Caenorhabditis elegans: one gene and its partners. The protein of the gene in region 2 interacts with the protein of the main gene of each other region in a pairwise test. Each region holds a gene or a part of one and is shown on either strand. Other genes may lie near its edges.

Evidence for each region. Proteins that work in one complex are often made in the same cells at the same time.
Region 1: the proteins of ubxn-1 (region 2) and cdc-48.1 interact in binary tests that used the Caenorhabditis elegans proteins (3 or more experiments, as listed by UniProt).
Region 3: the proteins of ubxn-1 (region 2) and cdc-48.2 interact in a two-hybrid assay, tested with the Caenorhabditis elegans proteins (3 studies listed by BioGRID).

What each region holds. Positions count from the first base shown.
Region 1 is NC_003280.10:10,559,487-10,565,265, forward strand, and holds cdc-48.1 (Transitional endoplasmic reticulum ATPase homolog 1), read right to left. Parts: upstream 3,922-5,779; 5' UTR 3,905-3,921; coding exon 3,707-3,904; intron 3,579-3,706; exon of another isoform or gene 3,466-3,578; intron 3,429-3,465; coding exon 2,601-3,428; intron 2,555-2,600; coding exon 1,482-2,554; intron 1,449-1,481; exon of another isoform or gene 1,231-1,448; intron 1,227-1,230; coding exon 1,032-1,226; intron 983-1,031; coding exon 847-982; 3' UTR 545-846; downstream 1-544. Other genes in the region: C06A1.6 (uncharacterized protein), read right to left, coding at 4,689-5,081, 5,125-5,190; C06A1.7 (uncharacterized protein), read left to right, coding at 5,426-5,476, 5,523-5,779. UniProt on the Caenorhabditis elegans protein: ATP-dependent chaperone which probably uses the energy provided by ATP hydrolysis to generate mechanical force to unfold substrate proteins, disassemble protein complexes, and disaggregate protein aggregates.
Region 2 is NC_003279.8:2,431,988-2,436,276, reverse strand, and holds ubxn-1 (UBX domain-containing protein 1), read right to left. Parts: upstream 2,276-4,289; 5' UTR 2,267-2,275; coding exon 2,055-2,266; intron 1,998-2,054; coding exon 1,725-1,997; intron 1,673-1,724; coding exon 1,426-1,672; intron 1,385-1,425; coding exon 1,261-1,384; intron 746-1,260; coding exon 702-745; 3' UTR 586-701; downstream 1-585. Other genes in the region: tipn-1 (Protein TIPIN homolog), read left to right, coding at 2,668-2,746, 2,798-2,865, 2,914-3,018, 3,062-3,323, 3,380-3,567; F23C8.8 (Protein kinase domain-containing protein), read left to right, coding at 3,696-3,742, 4,164-4,289. UniProt on the Caenorhabditis elegans protein: Ubiquitin-binding protein which acts as an adapter for ATPase cdc-48.1 and/or cdc-48.2, conferring substrate specificity.
Region 3 is NC_003280.10:8,136,660-8,141,774, reverse strand, and holds cdc-48.2 (Transitional endoplasmic reticulum ATPase homolog 2), read right to left. Parts: upstream 3,280-5,115; 5' UTR 3,265-3,279; coding exon 3,193-3,264; intron 3,145-3,192; coding exon 2,819-3,144; intron 2,773-2,818; coding exon 1,797-2,772; intron 1,745-1,796; coding exon 1,026-1,744; intron 967-1,025; coding exon 627-966; 3' UTR 545-626; downstream 1-544. Other genes in the region: ints-11 (Integrator complex subunit 11), read left to right, coding at 6-89, 136-489; ctns-1 (Cystinosin homolog), read left to right, coding at 4,868-5,001, 5,093-5,115. UniProt on the Caenorhabditis elegans protein: ATP-dependent chaperone which probably uses the energy provided by ATP hydrolysis to generate mechanical force to unfold substrate proteins, disassemble protein complexes, and disaggregate protein aggregates.

The DNA.
Region 1 (5,779 bases), on a different chromosome or scaffold from region 2:
TGTTCGTGACGGTGTTTCTTACAAAAATGTGCATATTTGCGGCAAATTTTGTGTTTTCAGATATTTTTAAGAATTTGAAAACTATTGGCACTTATCAGTTACTATCAATATTAATATCTGATCTAAAAGATTCATGTGACAGACAACGAGGACAAGGAATTTTTGAAAATTGGCCAGAAACGAGTTCAACAAGCTTGAAGATAAGCAACTATAGTACTCAATTCGGCATTTTCTTTGTTAAAAACCTCATGACTATGTACGAAATGCGTGCACTCCTATGAGTGTGGAGACAATATCGATGGAAAATGATATCAATGAATGAAAAAGCACTTCTACTTTCCAAAAGATCAAGAACAACTGGATCGCTAAATAGGTTTGATGATTGATATTAAAACCTGGTCCAAAAAATTACGTTAAACTTAGGCAACTTATCTTAAATACAGCTTCCCATTATCAACGGAACAACCAGTCATTGGTCATGAGACAATTCCACCTACACAATCACAAATAATAGTTTGAATATGGCAACACAATCGTACACAATTATGATTACAGACATCGTACATTTATATGTCAAAAACGGCAATACATACAAAACATTGGGAGGGATGCAAAAAAATAAATGGGATATACTTTTTGATCAACTGGGATGTAGGTATCTACAAATTTTTTCTTCTCGCGAAGATCATCCGTAACCATTAATTTCTAAAGCGAAAACATGGGCTCAATTACAATAAATAGTGGTAAATCGGGGGTTGGAAAGGGGTGAAATACGAGGTGAAAAAGTGGGTATGGGAGAAAATAAAACGAGTATCATACATAGACTCAGTAGATAAACTCAATACATTAGTTATAAAGGTCGTCATCATCCTGAGCAGGTACAGGGGCAGATGGGGCATCGCTTCCGCGTTGTTCTCCTGGGAATTTGAAGTTGTTTCCAAAGCCACGAGATTGTTGCAATGTTTGTGCAAACATTTCGTACCTACAAACATATTTTATAGACATACAATAAAACCATTATCAAAACTCACTTTCTGATGTCATTGTCTGTAACAGAGCGTCTGGCAAACTTCATGGCTTCCTCGAAGTGAGCACGAGTAATTTCTGGTACTGGATCAACTGCATCGTCTTCCATGAGCTCCTCACCGCGAGCTTGGCGATCTTGACGTTCCTTCTCAATCCGAATTTCCTTTTCGATCGATTCGCGAATAGCCAGCTTACACGCTCTGAAAATGTCATCGTTCACACCAGGAAAAATAGAATATCGGGGCCTTAGCGCGACTTTAGATACTCTAACTATTATAATTTACTGTGAGACGATTTTTTATATAGCACAAATATGACACTCGCGTAACCATGAACACAAAACTTGGCAGAATCTGAACTGCAAAACGCAGCTAAGAAGAGCCAAGAATGTGTAGATTTCGCAAGTTCTTAAGTTGTGCGTTTTGAACAAATTTTCAAATAATTAAATTACTCACCTCTGACAAATTTCGGTCAAATCGGCTCCAGAGAATCCAACAGTGTTTTTGGCCAAGAAGGTCAAGTCAAGATCCTTGGAGAGTGGGGTTTTACGAAGAGAAGCTTTCAAAATTTGGTGCCGAGAAGCTTCGTCTGGGAGTGGGATGTAGATAAGCTGATCAAGGCGACCTGGACGAAGAACAGCTGGATCAATGATATCAGGTCTGTTTGTAGCTCCGATGATGAACACATTTTTCTTCGCGTTCATTCCATCCATTTCGGTGAGCACTTGATTGATTACACGATCCGATGCACCTCCTCCATCACCGCCGGCGCCTCCACCTCTTGCCTTGGCAATCGAATCCAACTCATCGAAGAACAACACGCAAGGAGCAGCTGCACGAGCCTTGTCGAAGACATCACGGACGTTAGCTTCCGATTCTCCGAACCACATTGTGAGCAATTCTGGACCCTTGATGGAGATGAAATTGGCTTGACACTCGTTGGCAATTGCCTTGGCAAGAAGTGTCTTACCACATCCTGGTGGCCCATAGAACAAAACTCCTCTTGATGGCTGCATTCCAAACTTGAGATATTTTTCTGGGTGTTCCACTGGATACTGAACCAATTCTTGAAGTTCGCGCTTGACGTTTTGAAGACCTCCAATGTCGGACCAAGTTGTATTCGGAGTTTCGACAACAGCCTCGCGGAGAGCGGATGGGGAAGACTTTCCTTGAGCAAAACGGAAGTTTTCCATTGTGACAGCGAGTGAATTAAGAACCTCTGCATCAATTTGGTCATCTTCGAGATCAATGAGCTCCATCTTTTCACGAATCTGTTGAAGAGCGGCTTCCGAGCACAACGATGCCAAATCGGCACCAACGAATCCGTGACATTCATTTGCAATTTGTTCAAGATCAACATCATCCGCGAGCTTCATGTTTTTCGTGTGAATGCGCAGAATCTCAAGCCGGCCGACTGCATCTGGAATTCCGATATCGATTTCACGATCGAATCTTCCGAAGCGACGAAGAGCACCGTCAATCGAGTTTGGACGATTTGTTGCAGCAATGACCACAAGGTTAGAACGACCCTAAAATAATTATTATTATCGAATCATATAAAATTTAAAAGCATACCTTGACTCCATCCATAAGTGTAAGCAATTGAGAAACAATTCTGCGCTCAACTTCTCCATTGGTCTTCTCGCGTTTTGGTGCAATGGCGTCAATTTCGTCAATAAACAGAATAGCTGGTTGATTCTTCTCGCATTCTTCGAAAGCCTTACGAAGATTTGACTCGGATTCTCCAGACATCTTTGACATTACTTCAGGTCCGTTGATAAGGAAGAAGAAAGATCCGGTTTCATTAGCAACAGCACGTGCAATAAGAGTCTTTCCTGTGCCAGGTGGACCGAAGAGAAGAATTCCACGTGGTGGCTTGATACCAATAGCCTTGAAAAGTTGGGGATGTCGAAGTGGCAGTTCAACCATTTCCTTGATCTGAGCCAATTGCTTCCGAACTCCTCCCAAGTCATCATAACCAATATCATTCATGCTCTCTTCTTCTTCTTCTCTCTTGATCGGATCTCCTTCGTAGTGAATCATGGTATCAGGTGACACAATGCAGGCTGGAGCTGGCTCAGTTTCGACAACTTTGAATTCCACAGTTCTCATGGCAGCTTGAACAGTGAATATATCTCCCTTGTGAAGTGGGCGGTAAGCCTCCAGGAAGTATGGCTTGAGGAAAACATCGAACAAGTTTCCAGTGAGTCCTTCGATAGTGTCATCAATAGGGAGCACGTGAATGCGGGTTCCGTAACTGAGATTTGGAGCTGGCGTAATGCTCACGACGTCTCCGAGGCGAATACGAAGATTGTTGCGGACAACACGGTTCATGCGAACTTTCTCGTTTGGACAGGACTCATCAGAGACAATGATGGCGACAGATTCCTTTCGCTTCTTTCCCTGCAAAAATAATCATTAGAATCGAAAAATAAAATTTAATTGTGTGACAACCGTTTAAAAATCGAGATCAGCACCTTTGCGTGGTGTTAGGATTACGAAATACTTTGAAACGATTCGTTACTTGATCTATATCGCACAACTATGACACTCATAAAACCATCAGCAAATAAACAGTACTAGCTTCAAAACAGAACGTTTTTCAGCCTATATTGTAAATCACAGACATTACAAGTTCTTAAATTGTGCGTTTTAATCAAAAATTAAAAAGAAACACATACCTTCAGGATGACAGCATCTCCACGGAAAAGTCCCAGTTCGTCCATTTTAGCTTGGGAAACTGCGATGACGGAATTATCATCCTGCTCGGACTGATCGACGATCAAGCGATTCGGCTTTACCTTGTCCTTGAGAATAGCTGTCGACAGCTCATCATTTTTCTTCTCTTTTTCGCTTTGATGCGTTGGAACCGAGGCCATTATGTACAATTTAAGACCTAAAATAAGAAGAATGAGTGTCCAAAATGATAGTGGGAACGAAACTATAAAAGAAAATTGAGATTTTAAAAAAGTTCACGAAATTATTTCTAAAAACGACACAGATTTGAAAATTGTCATCATCCACGCATATAGAAGCGTGTTTTCAACAAGTGTACGCAAAAAGTGTTTGGTGATTCTGACGTTAGGGCGCGGTTGCTTTATAATTTTAGCGCGAAGTTTGAAAAGGATTTTCACTGTTCAAAAAATTTTAAAATTTCTAAATAACGAGACGTATTTGTAAATATTTGCGATGAAAAGCGTTGAAACTTCAAAAAAGTTCTTTGAAAACGGAAACGCAGTTTACAATTTTTTGAAATTTTTCGGAAAAAAGGAACTAGTAAATAAAATCTACCGTTTGCACGTTTGCGGTAATGTATGTAGCTGGGTCCAGGATGAAAATATGAAAAGGAAAAAAAGTGGACTGTAATGTAATGCTGGTTTGGAAAAATAACTGTTATTTGCAATAACGCACATCAGCGTTTGGGTCTCGAAACGATATGCCGTTAGTAAATGCAGCACTTTGTAGATCGATAAAAATGATTTGCAGCATCACCCGATCGATAGACGGAGAACGAAGAGATGTGAAACGAGACGAGAGGAGAATAGTCTTAAGATTTTGATTCTTGATAGTTTCCCAGATCTATGAATTTAATAAGTTGAATAATTTCCAAATTATTTATTCCCGATCGAGAATTAGAATAAATTAAACAAATAGATTAATGGATTAACATTTGCCATTGGATGGTCTTCTTTTGATTCCAAGAGCACGATTAGCTTCATCAATTTGAAGTTTTTGAAGGGAACGACGTTTACGACCTCCACCTCCACATCCACAGCATCCGCATCCGCAACCACATCCACAACAGCATGGTCTACAGCAGGTACAACATCTAGTACAGCAACAAGTTCTACAACAAGTACAACAACATTTGGGTCTACAACAGCAGCAGCATCTTGGTCTGCAACAGCAACATCCACATCCACCACCACCTCCTCCACATCCACAACATCCACAACATCCTCCATTTCTTTTAACACGAGAAGATCCGATAATTGATGTTTCAGATGAAATTATAGATATTTCTGTTGTTGATACTGGCAAAACTCCTGATTCAACCTATAAGTTTCTTAAATACGAGAACTAAATCTATTAATCTAACCTGTGAAATCGATACAATTGTATAAATCAGTACAACTAATGTAGATCCAATTATGAATTTGGTCATTTTGATCGAATAGAAACTGATGAATATCTCAATTTTATGGTGCTTTTATATAACTTTTCCATGATCCAAAGTGTCTTAGTTTTTGTGTTCAATTTCCATGACGCGGCTCGCGCGGAGAGATCACAAAAAATGGTTTCCGGCAAAAGTGTCAAATGAGAGACGACAAACACGTAAGAAGAAGAGGGTATTTAATGGATGGAAATTCGAAAACCATATCGAACGCTAATAATCTGAAATGAATAAGATCGTACTTCTGACTCTCTTTGCCCTTATTGCTATTTCACAGGTATCGGTAAAGGTTCTAAATGTTAGAAAACACAATACTATTATAGGTTGAATCAGGAGTTTTGCCAGTATCAACAACAGAAATATCTATAATTTCATCTGAAACATCAATTATCGGATCTTCTCGTGTTAAAAGAAATGGAGGATGTTGTGGATGTTGTGGATGTGGAGGAGGTGGTGGTGGATGTGGATGTTGCTGCTGCAGACCAAGATGCTGCTGCTGTTGTAGACCCAAATGTTGTTGTACTTGTTGTAGAACTTGTTGCTGTACTAGATGTTGTACCTGCTGTAGACCATGCTGTTG
Region 2 (4,289 bases):
CTTGTGTCGATTTACGGGCTCGTGTATTTCTCGATAGAATATTAAATTAGAGGCCCCACCAAAACAGAATGCAACTCAAAACAGGATTCACCAAAACAGGATGCAAGGGCGGAGCCTATTTCGCAACAACCGCGCATGCTTTTCCCGCAAGCCTCGCACGTTTTTTCCTTGATGTTGTTGCATTTTTTAAAGAGAAAAAACGTGCGAGGCTTGCGGAAAAAGCATGCGGTGGTTGCGAAATAGGCTCCGCCCCTGTATCCTGTTTTGAGTTGCATTCCGTTTTGGTGGGGCCTCTTAAATTAAATCGAAAAGAAAATCTGAGCCCGTAAATCGACCTACAGTAATCATTTAAAGAATTACTGCAGTTTTCGCTGCGAGATATTTTGCGCGTCAAATATGTTGTGCAGTACGCAGGTTTTTATTCCAATATCTTCCAGGTTCTAATGCTTCCAATCACTCTGGAGATATGATTGTCCTGCAGCTTGTCAGAAATCTGTGGCAAGAGCTCGGAGAGCAAAACTGACGGGAATTCGAAGATCACGAGGAGATGAAGAGCCTCGAGATATATGGAGGGGAAAAAAGTTTATCGGAAAATTTTTATACATGCTCAATATACATGTTTAGTTTACAAGTGATACCAGCATTCGGGAGAGGGGGGAGAGAAAATTAGCAGTAAATTGTGGGAATTTAGTTTTGAAGATTCAGGCGGCACGGTTGAGAATGACGTTGGCGGATGGTACCAAATCTGAAAATTTTAAAAAAAAATTAGAGAATGAACATTTTTTTGGTCTCAAAAAACCAAAATTCATAACGAAACTTTTCAAATTTTTATTTATTTTTTTCGAAAAAATGGCCCAATTACAGCAGAAATCTATATATTTTAGCGTTTTTTTCGTTGATTTAGGCACATTTAAAGTCAAATTGCACCATACTGCTCCAATATTTAAAAATTAGTGTCAAAATATAGAAAATCAGTTGATTTTTCTGAAAATAATACTTAATTTAACTGAAAAATTCGAAAGTGCTCAAAAATTGCCTTACAATTGACAATTCGTGACTTCTAGGCCATTTTTGAGCACTTTTTCAGATTCTTCAGTTAAATTGAGTCTTTTTGCTGAAGAAGGACAAAAATCGAATAAAAATAAATTTCCGGCAGCTGTGAACAGGAAAAGTTGGCGAAATAGCTGAAAATCGTCCACTTTTTTTTTCGAAAATTTCCAAGTTTCATCATGAAATCCGGCCTTTTTGAGCAAAACTCACTGAGAACTTTGAGCGGTGTTCCCATATCATCCTCGGTGAACACTTTGCGGGGGAATGGGGTCATCAGGGTGAACGGAACACCGTTTGCGTGATTAGTTTCGACCCAGGCGCGGACCATTGCGAGCTGAAAAATTAATTCAAGGGAGTCGAGAATATTTAAATTACCGGCTCATTAGCTTCAAACTGTTGTCTAACAGTTTGTCCATCGAGAAGTCGGAATTGAAGAGTTGTAGTTGAGTAGTCTTTTGGCGGAGCAACTGGAGCTGCAGACGGAGCAGGCTTTGCCTCTGGAACCGGTTGGCCTGAAGCTTTTGCCTTACGGGCTTCCTTGTCAAGCCGGATTTGCTCGAGAACTCGTTTTCTGGCGATTTCGTCTTCGTTCTTTTCGCGGCGACGATCTTGAGCGGCTTCTCTGCAAATTGGGAATATTATTATTTAAATTCAATGGAAAACAGTTTTCTAACCGAATTTCACGATCTCTGGCGGCTTCTTTATGGCTGATCATGGCTTTTCCATCCTCACGACGCTTTTTCTCCTTCTCACGATTCTCTTCGGCCTCGAGCTTTGCCTTTTTGGCCTGATGGACTTTGATTTTTTCTCGGATTTCCAGGACTTTTGCGGCCTTTTCCTCTGCAGTGAGAGGCTTGATAGCTTCCGAGCTTTCGCTGAAATTCTCGTGCTTTGTCTTCGAAGCGTGGAACATGATAGCATCATCGTTGGCGAGAAGCTTTCCGCAGCTGGAAAAAAAAATTTGGAGAAATAATTAATAAGAATCGTAGGGGGGAAAAACTCACTCATCACACTTAAAACTGGCGGCTACCGGGGGTGCACCACTGTCAGCGGCTCCTGGAGCAGCTTGAGCTGGAGCATCTGTCTCCATTGGTACACCGGCTCCGTCCTTCTCAATCCAATCCAACGCCTGATCGAGATTTCTGTTGTTTCCGGCGGCGGCCTCGGCTTTGTCGGCTGGGAAGCCCATATCCATGAGTTGTTGGGCGATCGACATTGTTATTCTGGAAAGAAATGCGACAATTTGGCGAAAAACTAGATTTTTTCTCATTTTCCAGAAGAATTTTGGGATTTTTTACGAAATAAGCTGTTCAAAACAGTGATATATTAACAATAAAGTGGTTTAATTAATAAAAAACCTTAAGAAATGCGTTTAAATCAGAAAATTCAGATAATAAATGGACTGGAACACTTTTTCTAGCCAAGAACACAAAGAGAATGCTGACTTTCTTTAAAGGCGCACGCATTTAATCGATCGGGTCTCGACGCGATTCAGCCGATTTTGTCGGCGCGTTGTTTGAAAATAGTTTTTTAAACGCTAAGATTTTTGCATTTTTTTTCGTTTTCTGCACGAAAACCTAGAAATTTCGATCGAAAATCAACTTTTTTTCCAGAAAAATGGACGAAATGGAAGATTTCTTCGAAAATGATGAATTGGATCGAGAGCCAAGCCCTATGGGAGACGAAGCAATCGAAGGTATCTAGAATTTCGTGTGAGAAATCGGGTTTTAATTAAAGTTTTGTTCAGATAACAGCGGCGAGGGAGGCACTAGACGAGTCGTGGAGCCGAAATTGTTAAGGACTAAAAGACTAGCAGTAAAACGCTTATTTTCTATGATTTATTTAAATTTTTTCAAACTTTAGAATCCACGCCTAGCACTGAATGAGCGAATTTTGACCGGGCCGAAAGGAATTTCAGCTCTTCGGGAGACTTTAAAAGATTTCAAGCCAAATCCCAAGGATGATCCGGTAAATTTGAAAGTTAAAAAATACAATAATTTTCCCTTTTCAGTACGCAAATCTGGAGAAATTGATGAAAAAATACGCATACTGGGGACATTTGATGTTTCCGAAGATGAAAACCGAAGATGTTCTGAATCGAGTCGAGACACTGGGAACACGGCGGCAGGTTAAAGTTTTCATGATCAAGCACCGGCTTGGAGAGACTGGCGAGGATTCTGAGCACGAGGAGCAGGAGAATCAAAAGAATGGAATTATTGATGATGGAGCGAGTGATAATGACGATGATTTATTCAAGGATTTACCAGAGAAAGGTTGCAAAATTTATCCAAACTTGTTATTAGAAAATCAAAAAATCTTTCAATTTCAGAAGTCACGACTGAAAAAGCTAAAAATTCTGAAAAATCCGACCAAAAAACCGCTGAAATTGATGAAAATGTCGAGGAAGAGTATCGAATGATGGAGGAAGAGCGGCTGCGAGAGGAACAGGAAGCCAAGGAAGCTGCTGACGAAGATGCTCTTATGGAAGATTTCGGTGATATGAATAACGATTGGTGATAGAGCAATTAATTTTTTTTAATTTCACGTGTATTTTATATTTTTATGAACTTTTCTTTGTTCTCGAATTTTCCAAAGCGTGAGACCTTTTTTTTATCGAATAAAACTACATTCCTTATTGTTATGACATGTCAACGCCAACACTCTCTCCGTCTACAGAAAAGTTGATTCCGATGTGAGTTTCTGGAGGTCAAAAATTCGAGTTTTTCTTGATTTTCGCCGTTTTTCCAACGAATATTCTCAAAATATTGGAATTCCGCGGAAGAAAAATCAGGAAAAATTGCGAAATCGGCAAAAATTTCCACCGTACCCCTTTAAAAGCGCACGGCTCGCTTTAAAAAGTAACAATCGTGCCAGGACCTTTGAGTGAAATGAGGAGTGCGCCTTTAAGAAAGTACGGTCTTTTTCAGATTATTTCGCAATTTTTCCGGGTTTCCTGTTATTTTTCGAAAGAGAATCGAAATTTAATTAGAAAATCTGATTGTGAAATTGATTGCAAAAGACACAGTAATCGCCTAAAGGCGCATGGGCTTTCTGCTCCCTCAGAAAAACTTTACAGGCCTAGTTTGAGACTAAAAACCTTTGAATTTCTGTAGAATTGGACTAAGCGTGTCTGGAACATTCTCACCTCGTCCAATTGCCACCACCGCTCACTCGGTTGTCTTCAAAGTGGATTCGCAGCTTTATCGTCGAGAAGTGATTGTGAAAATCGTGGATCGAAA
Region 3 (5,115 bases), on a different chromosome or scaffold from region 2:
TCCAGAAAATTGACAGAAGCCTAAGCCTCGATCCGAATCCTGCCAAATCGGAATGCCCATTTGTCGCCGAGCTCGTTTACGATCAAGAAGTAAGATTATTGAACTTTATTTTGCAATAACTTCAAATAATTTTAGAATGAACGACTGAATATCATGTCTACAGCAGAATCAGAAGATTTGATAAAAGATAAAAACTGCATGCCGATCACTCTCTCATTGTCAGAAATCATCAAAGGCAAAAAAGTGAATTGGAAGGAATTATCAAACGAGCTTCTACTCTATGATCCACACTTGCAACTAAAAGACGACGGCATTGAAATGTTTGATGGAGAAATCACTATTTTAGCAAACAATTCTGATGAAACAGAGCTTGAACTGATCTGGGACGAATGCCGTGAACAGTGGTTCAAGGTTATCCATAAAGCCATCACTGATCTCATTTCACCCGAATCCTCCCCGGTCCCTCCTGCTATCTCTGTTAAAGCATAAGATTTTAACAAATACTTTTTACGGTTACGATTTTTTTACTTGTAAAAGTTGGAAATAAATTTAACATTCATGAGAACATTTGATACCCTCGCAAGGATGCATTTACAATAAATAGAATAAAACAATTTTAGCGAAATCTAGTTGTACAGGTCATCATCGTCATTTCCACCGGAGCCACCGTTTCCTCCAACAGGTTGTCCAGCAGAAGGAGCTTCTCCTGGGAACTTGAAGTTGTTTCCAAATCCACGAGATTGTTGAAGAGTCTGGGCGAACATCTCGTATTTTCTGATATCGTTATCAGTCACGGAACGTCTAGCGAACTTCATTGCCTCCTCGAAGTGTGCTCTAGTTATTTCTGGAACTGGGTCAGCCAGTTCATCCTCCATAAGTTCTTCTCCACGAGCACTTCTGTCCTGACGCTCCTTTTCCTGACGAATTTCCCGTTCAATTGATTCACGAATGGCAAGCTTGCATGCTCTGAAAATGGTATTAATTGACAAATGCGAATATTTTTTTAACTAATTTTTATAACAAACCTTTGGCAAATTTCGGTTAAGTCGGCTCCCGAAAAACCGACGGTGTTCTTGGCAAGGAAGTTCAAATCGAGATCGGCGGAAAGGGGCGTTTTGCGGAGTGAGGCCTTGAAAATTTGAAGTCTAGATGCTTCGTCAGGAAGAGGAATGTAGATCAACTGATCGAGACGTCCTGGACGAAGAACAGCTGGATCAATGATATCAGGACGATTGGTAGCTCCAATAATGAACACGTTTTTCTTGGCATTCATACCATCCATTTCAGTGAGAACCTGGTTGATAACACGATCGGCAGCACCTCCAGCATCTCCTACACTTCCTCCTCTGGCCTTTGCGATCGAATCGAGTTCGTCAAAGAAGAGAACGCATGGAGCGGCAGCACGAGCTTTATCAAACACGTCGCGAACATTAGCTTCGGATTCTCCGAACCACATAGTAAGAAGCTCGGGTCCCTTGATGGAAATGAAGTTAGCCTGGCATTCATTGGCAATCGCTTTAGCGAGAAGTGTTTTACCGCATCCTGGTGGACCGTAGAACAAAACTCCACGAGATGGTTGCATTCCGAACTTGAGATACTTTTCTGGATGCTCTACAGGGTATTGAACGAGCTCCTGAAGTTCGCGCTTGACGTTTTGAAGACCTCCGATGTCGGACCAAGTAGTATTTGGAGTTTCCACAACGGCTTCGCGAAGAGCAGATGGGGATGATTTTCCCATTGCGAACTGAAAAATGATTAATGATACGTCTCTTAAGTGCAAAAAAATGATAACTTACTCTAAAGTTCTCCATAGTGACCGCCAAAGAATTGAGAACTTCAGCATCAATTGTATCATCCTCCAAATCAATCAGCTCCATCTTTTCGCGAATTTGCTGAATAGCAGCCTCAGAGCAGAGGGAAGCCAAATCAGCTCCGACAAATCCGTGGCATTCGTTTGCAACTTGTTCCAAATCAACGTCTTCTCCTAATTTCATGTTCTTGGTATGAATTCTGAGAATTTCCAGACGGCCAACAGCATCAGGGATTCCAATGTCAATTTCACGATCAAAGCGACCGAAACGACGAAGGGCTCCATCAATAGAGTTAGGACGATTAGTAGCGGCGATCACGACAACATGAGCGCGAGTTTTAAGTCCATCCATAAGTGTGAGAAGTTGCGAGACGATACGCTTCTCGACTTCACCGTGAGCCTTTTCTCTCTTTGGAGCAATCGCATCGATCTCGTCAATGAACAAAATAGCAGGTGAGTTCTTCTCACACTCGGCAAATGCTTTACGAAGATTCGATTCCGACTCTCCAGACATTTTAGACATAATTTCCGGTCCGTTAATGAGGAAGAAGAATGCTCCTGTTTCGTTGGCGACAGCTCTTGCGATCAGTGTCTTACCGGTTCCTGGTGGACCGAACAGAAGAATTCCACGTGGTGGTTTCACTCCGATAGCCTTGAAAAGTTGGGGATGGCGAAGTGGGAGCTCAACCATTTCCTTGATCTGAGCGAGTTGTTTACGAACACCTCCGAGATCATCGTATCCAACTTCATTGAGAGCCTCCTCTTCTTCCTCTCTTTTAATTGGATCTCCTTCATAGTGAATAACAGTATCTGGAGCAACAATACACGCCGGAGCAGGATCCGTCTCGACAACTTTGAACTCGACAGTTCTCATTGCAGCTTGAACAGTGAATATGTCTCCCTTGTGCACTGGGCGGTAGGCGTCGGTAAAGTATGGCCGAAGGAAGACATCAAATAGATTTCTAAAATAAAAAATACAGTCTTTATTTCTCCGTGGCAAGAACATACCCAGTCAATCCCTCGATTGTGTCATCAATTGGAAGAACATGAACCCTTTTTCCATATTCGAGTTGAGCACTTGAGATACTGACAACGTCTCCAAGACGGCTTCTGAGGTTGTTTCGAACCACTTTGTTCATCTTGATCTTGTCATTCGGGCAATTGTCCGCATTAAGAACGATAGAGACAGTCTCTCTTCGTTTCTTTCCTTTCAAAATCACCGAATCTCCACGGAAGAGTCCCAGCTCGTCCATTTTGGCCTGTGAGAGCATGACCATGGAGTTGTCGTCATTGTCAGACTGATCGATAATGAGTCTGTTTGGGCGTTTTTTGTCCTGAAAGAGTTAATTATATTGAAATGATTACCTTGGAGAAAAACCTACTTTCAAGATAGCCGTAGCCAGCTCATCATTCTTCTTTTCCTTCTCGTCTCTCTGAGTCGGAACTGAGGCCATGGTTAAACGACTTCTCTGTAAAATCTTGGAATAATAAAAAAGAACGGAAGATGGGGGTAGAACATAGGAAAGGCCGAAACGCGAAAGTCTAATAAGAAAGTAGAACACGGACAAACTTTTCTACAGTAGGTTTTCAAGATAAAACTTCAAGTATAATTTCTGATCTAATTCAGTTAAAGAATCGAATCAAAGAAGAGATGCAAAAAGAGCCAATAGAACAAAATTAAGAAATATGGAAGATGAGACACGTAGACTAAGTTCTCTACAGAACACCCCAATGCTGCCTCTACATGATGACAAAACGCAGCCTCTCATTCACACTCTCTCCTTGGGGCGCATTTGCTTTCGAATAATTTCACAAAGCGTTCTACCGTTTTATTCGGGTCATAAGTAATAATTACATTGTTAAAAATATATGTGAACCAGCCGTCTTTAGCGGAACAGAAGTTCAAGGCGAACCTAAGTGATGTGACGATCTAGAAAGCTAGAGGTAAATATCTCGTTCAAAAACGAAGACATAATTTGAATAACAAGGAGACGAATTCAAAGAAACGTACGATATGAGTGATATTTCAGTGGTAAATTTCCGCAGTTTCCGCAGAGTCAGTGGTAAATTTCCGCAATCGCATAAATATGGAAAAGATATTATACGGCAAAGATAAATACGATAACACACTCTGGTAATTGTTTAACAACGACTGAGATAGCGAAAACCTCCCAGCAACTGTTTAAAACATAATTATTTATAATGAGCAATGCATTGCGCAATGAGAAAACAATTTCTAGAAGAAAAAACTGTTCGTTAAACGTACGCGCTGCTTTTTTTGTTCGAAGGAGCGCGTTTGGTGTTCAGAGACTTGACCGTTTTTTGGAGTTCAGCTATTTTAGGAATCCGATATCTGGAAATAACTGAGAACGCCTGACTTTTATTACAGGAAATAATGATTTTAACAAAATGGCCAACCAGGAAACCACATAATGTATAAAAATTATCAAAAAAAAGCATCAGGTTTAAGACAACTTCATTTTTTTTCAGCGAATCTGCTTCTGGAAGAAACTTCTTGCGGATTCGTGGTGTCTCCCGCTTTACAAAAATCTAAAGTTCTACAAAACGAAACATTAAAACAGTTTTTTTGAGCTTCAATCCATGTTTTTTTTTAAGTTTTCGATAGTGTTTTATTGTTTCAGTTTCCCAAATTACAAATTAAATTAAATTTTTTTGGAATATTTAATTTTCTTTAAAATTCACAGTGTATTGTTTTCCTCATGTAAACTGGATTTTTGGTCTTTTATCAATAAAAATTATCGATGATCTGAACGATTTTCTGAATATTCCGACGCATTAAATAAAAAATGTGTATATATATGTTTTCAACATGATGTTTCCCTCGTTTGTTTACAAAAATTCCAACCTTCCCCCGTTCTCTCGGTCAATCATTCGTTTTTCACTATTTTGCTGTTTCTCTTTTTCTCGCTCAATTTATGTTATTGATTCATTTCAATGCCAAAACTGATGATATAAAGCGTCGTTTTCTCTATTCACAACTCCTGTTTTATATTTTGCTTCCATTTTTTGAAGTATAATTGTTTCCAGAATGATATAATGAGTTTCCCGGTGGCATTTTTGCTCGTTCTCTTCTTGGTTCCATTCACATTTGCGACAAATAATTTAGTTGTTAGACAGAAAGAATTGGAAATTGTAATTGGAGGAGAAGTCTCTGTTAATTTCCAGATCAAGTGAGTTATTAATAATATTTTTCATCCAACAGGTTATAAAATAAAAACAATCATACGAACATGTGCTGTATTCAATCAATATAATTTTCAGAAACCACACATCACAATCATTGA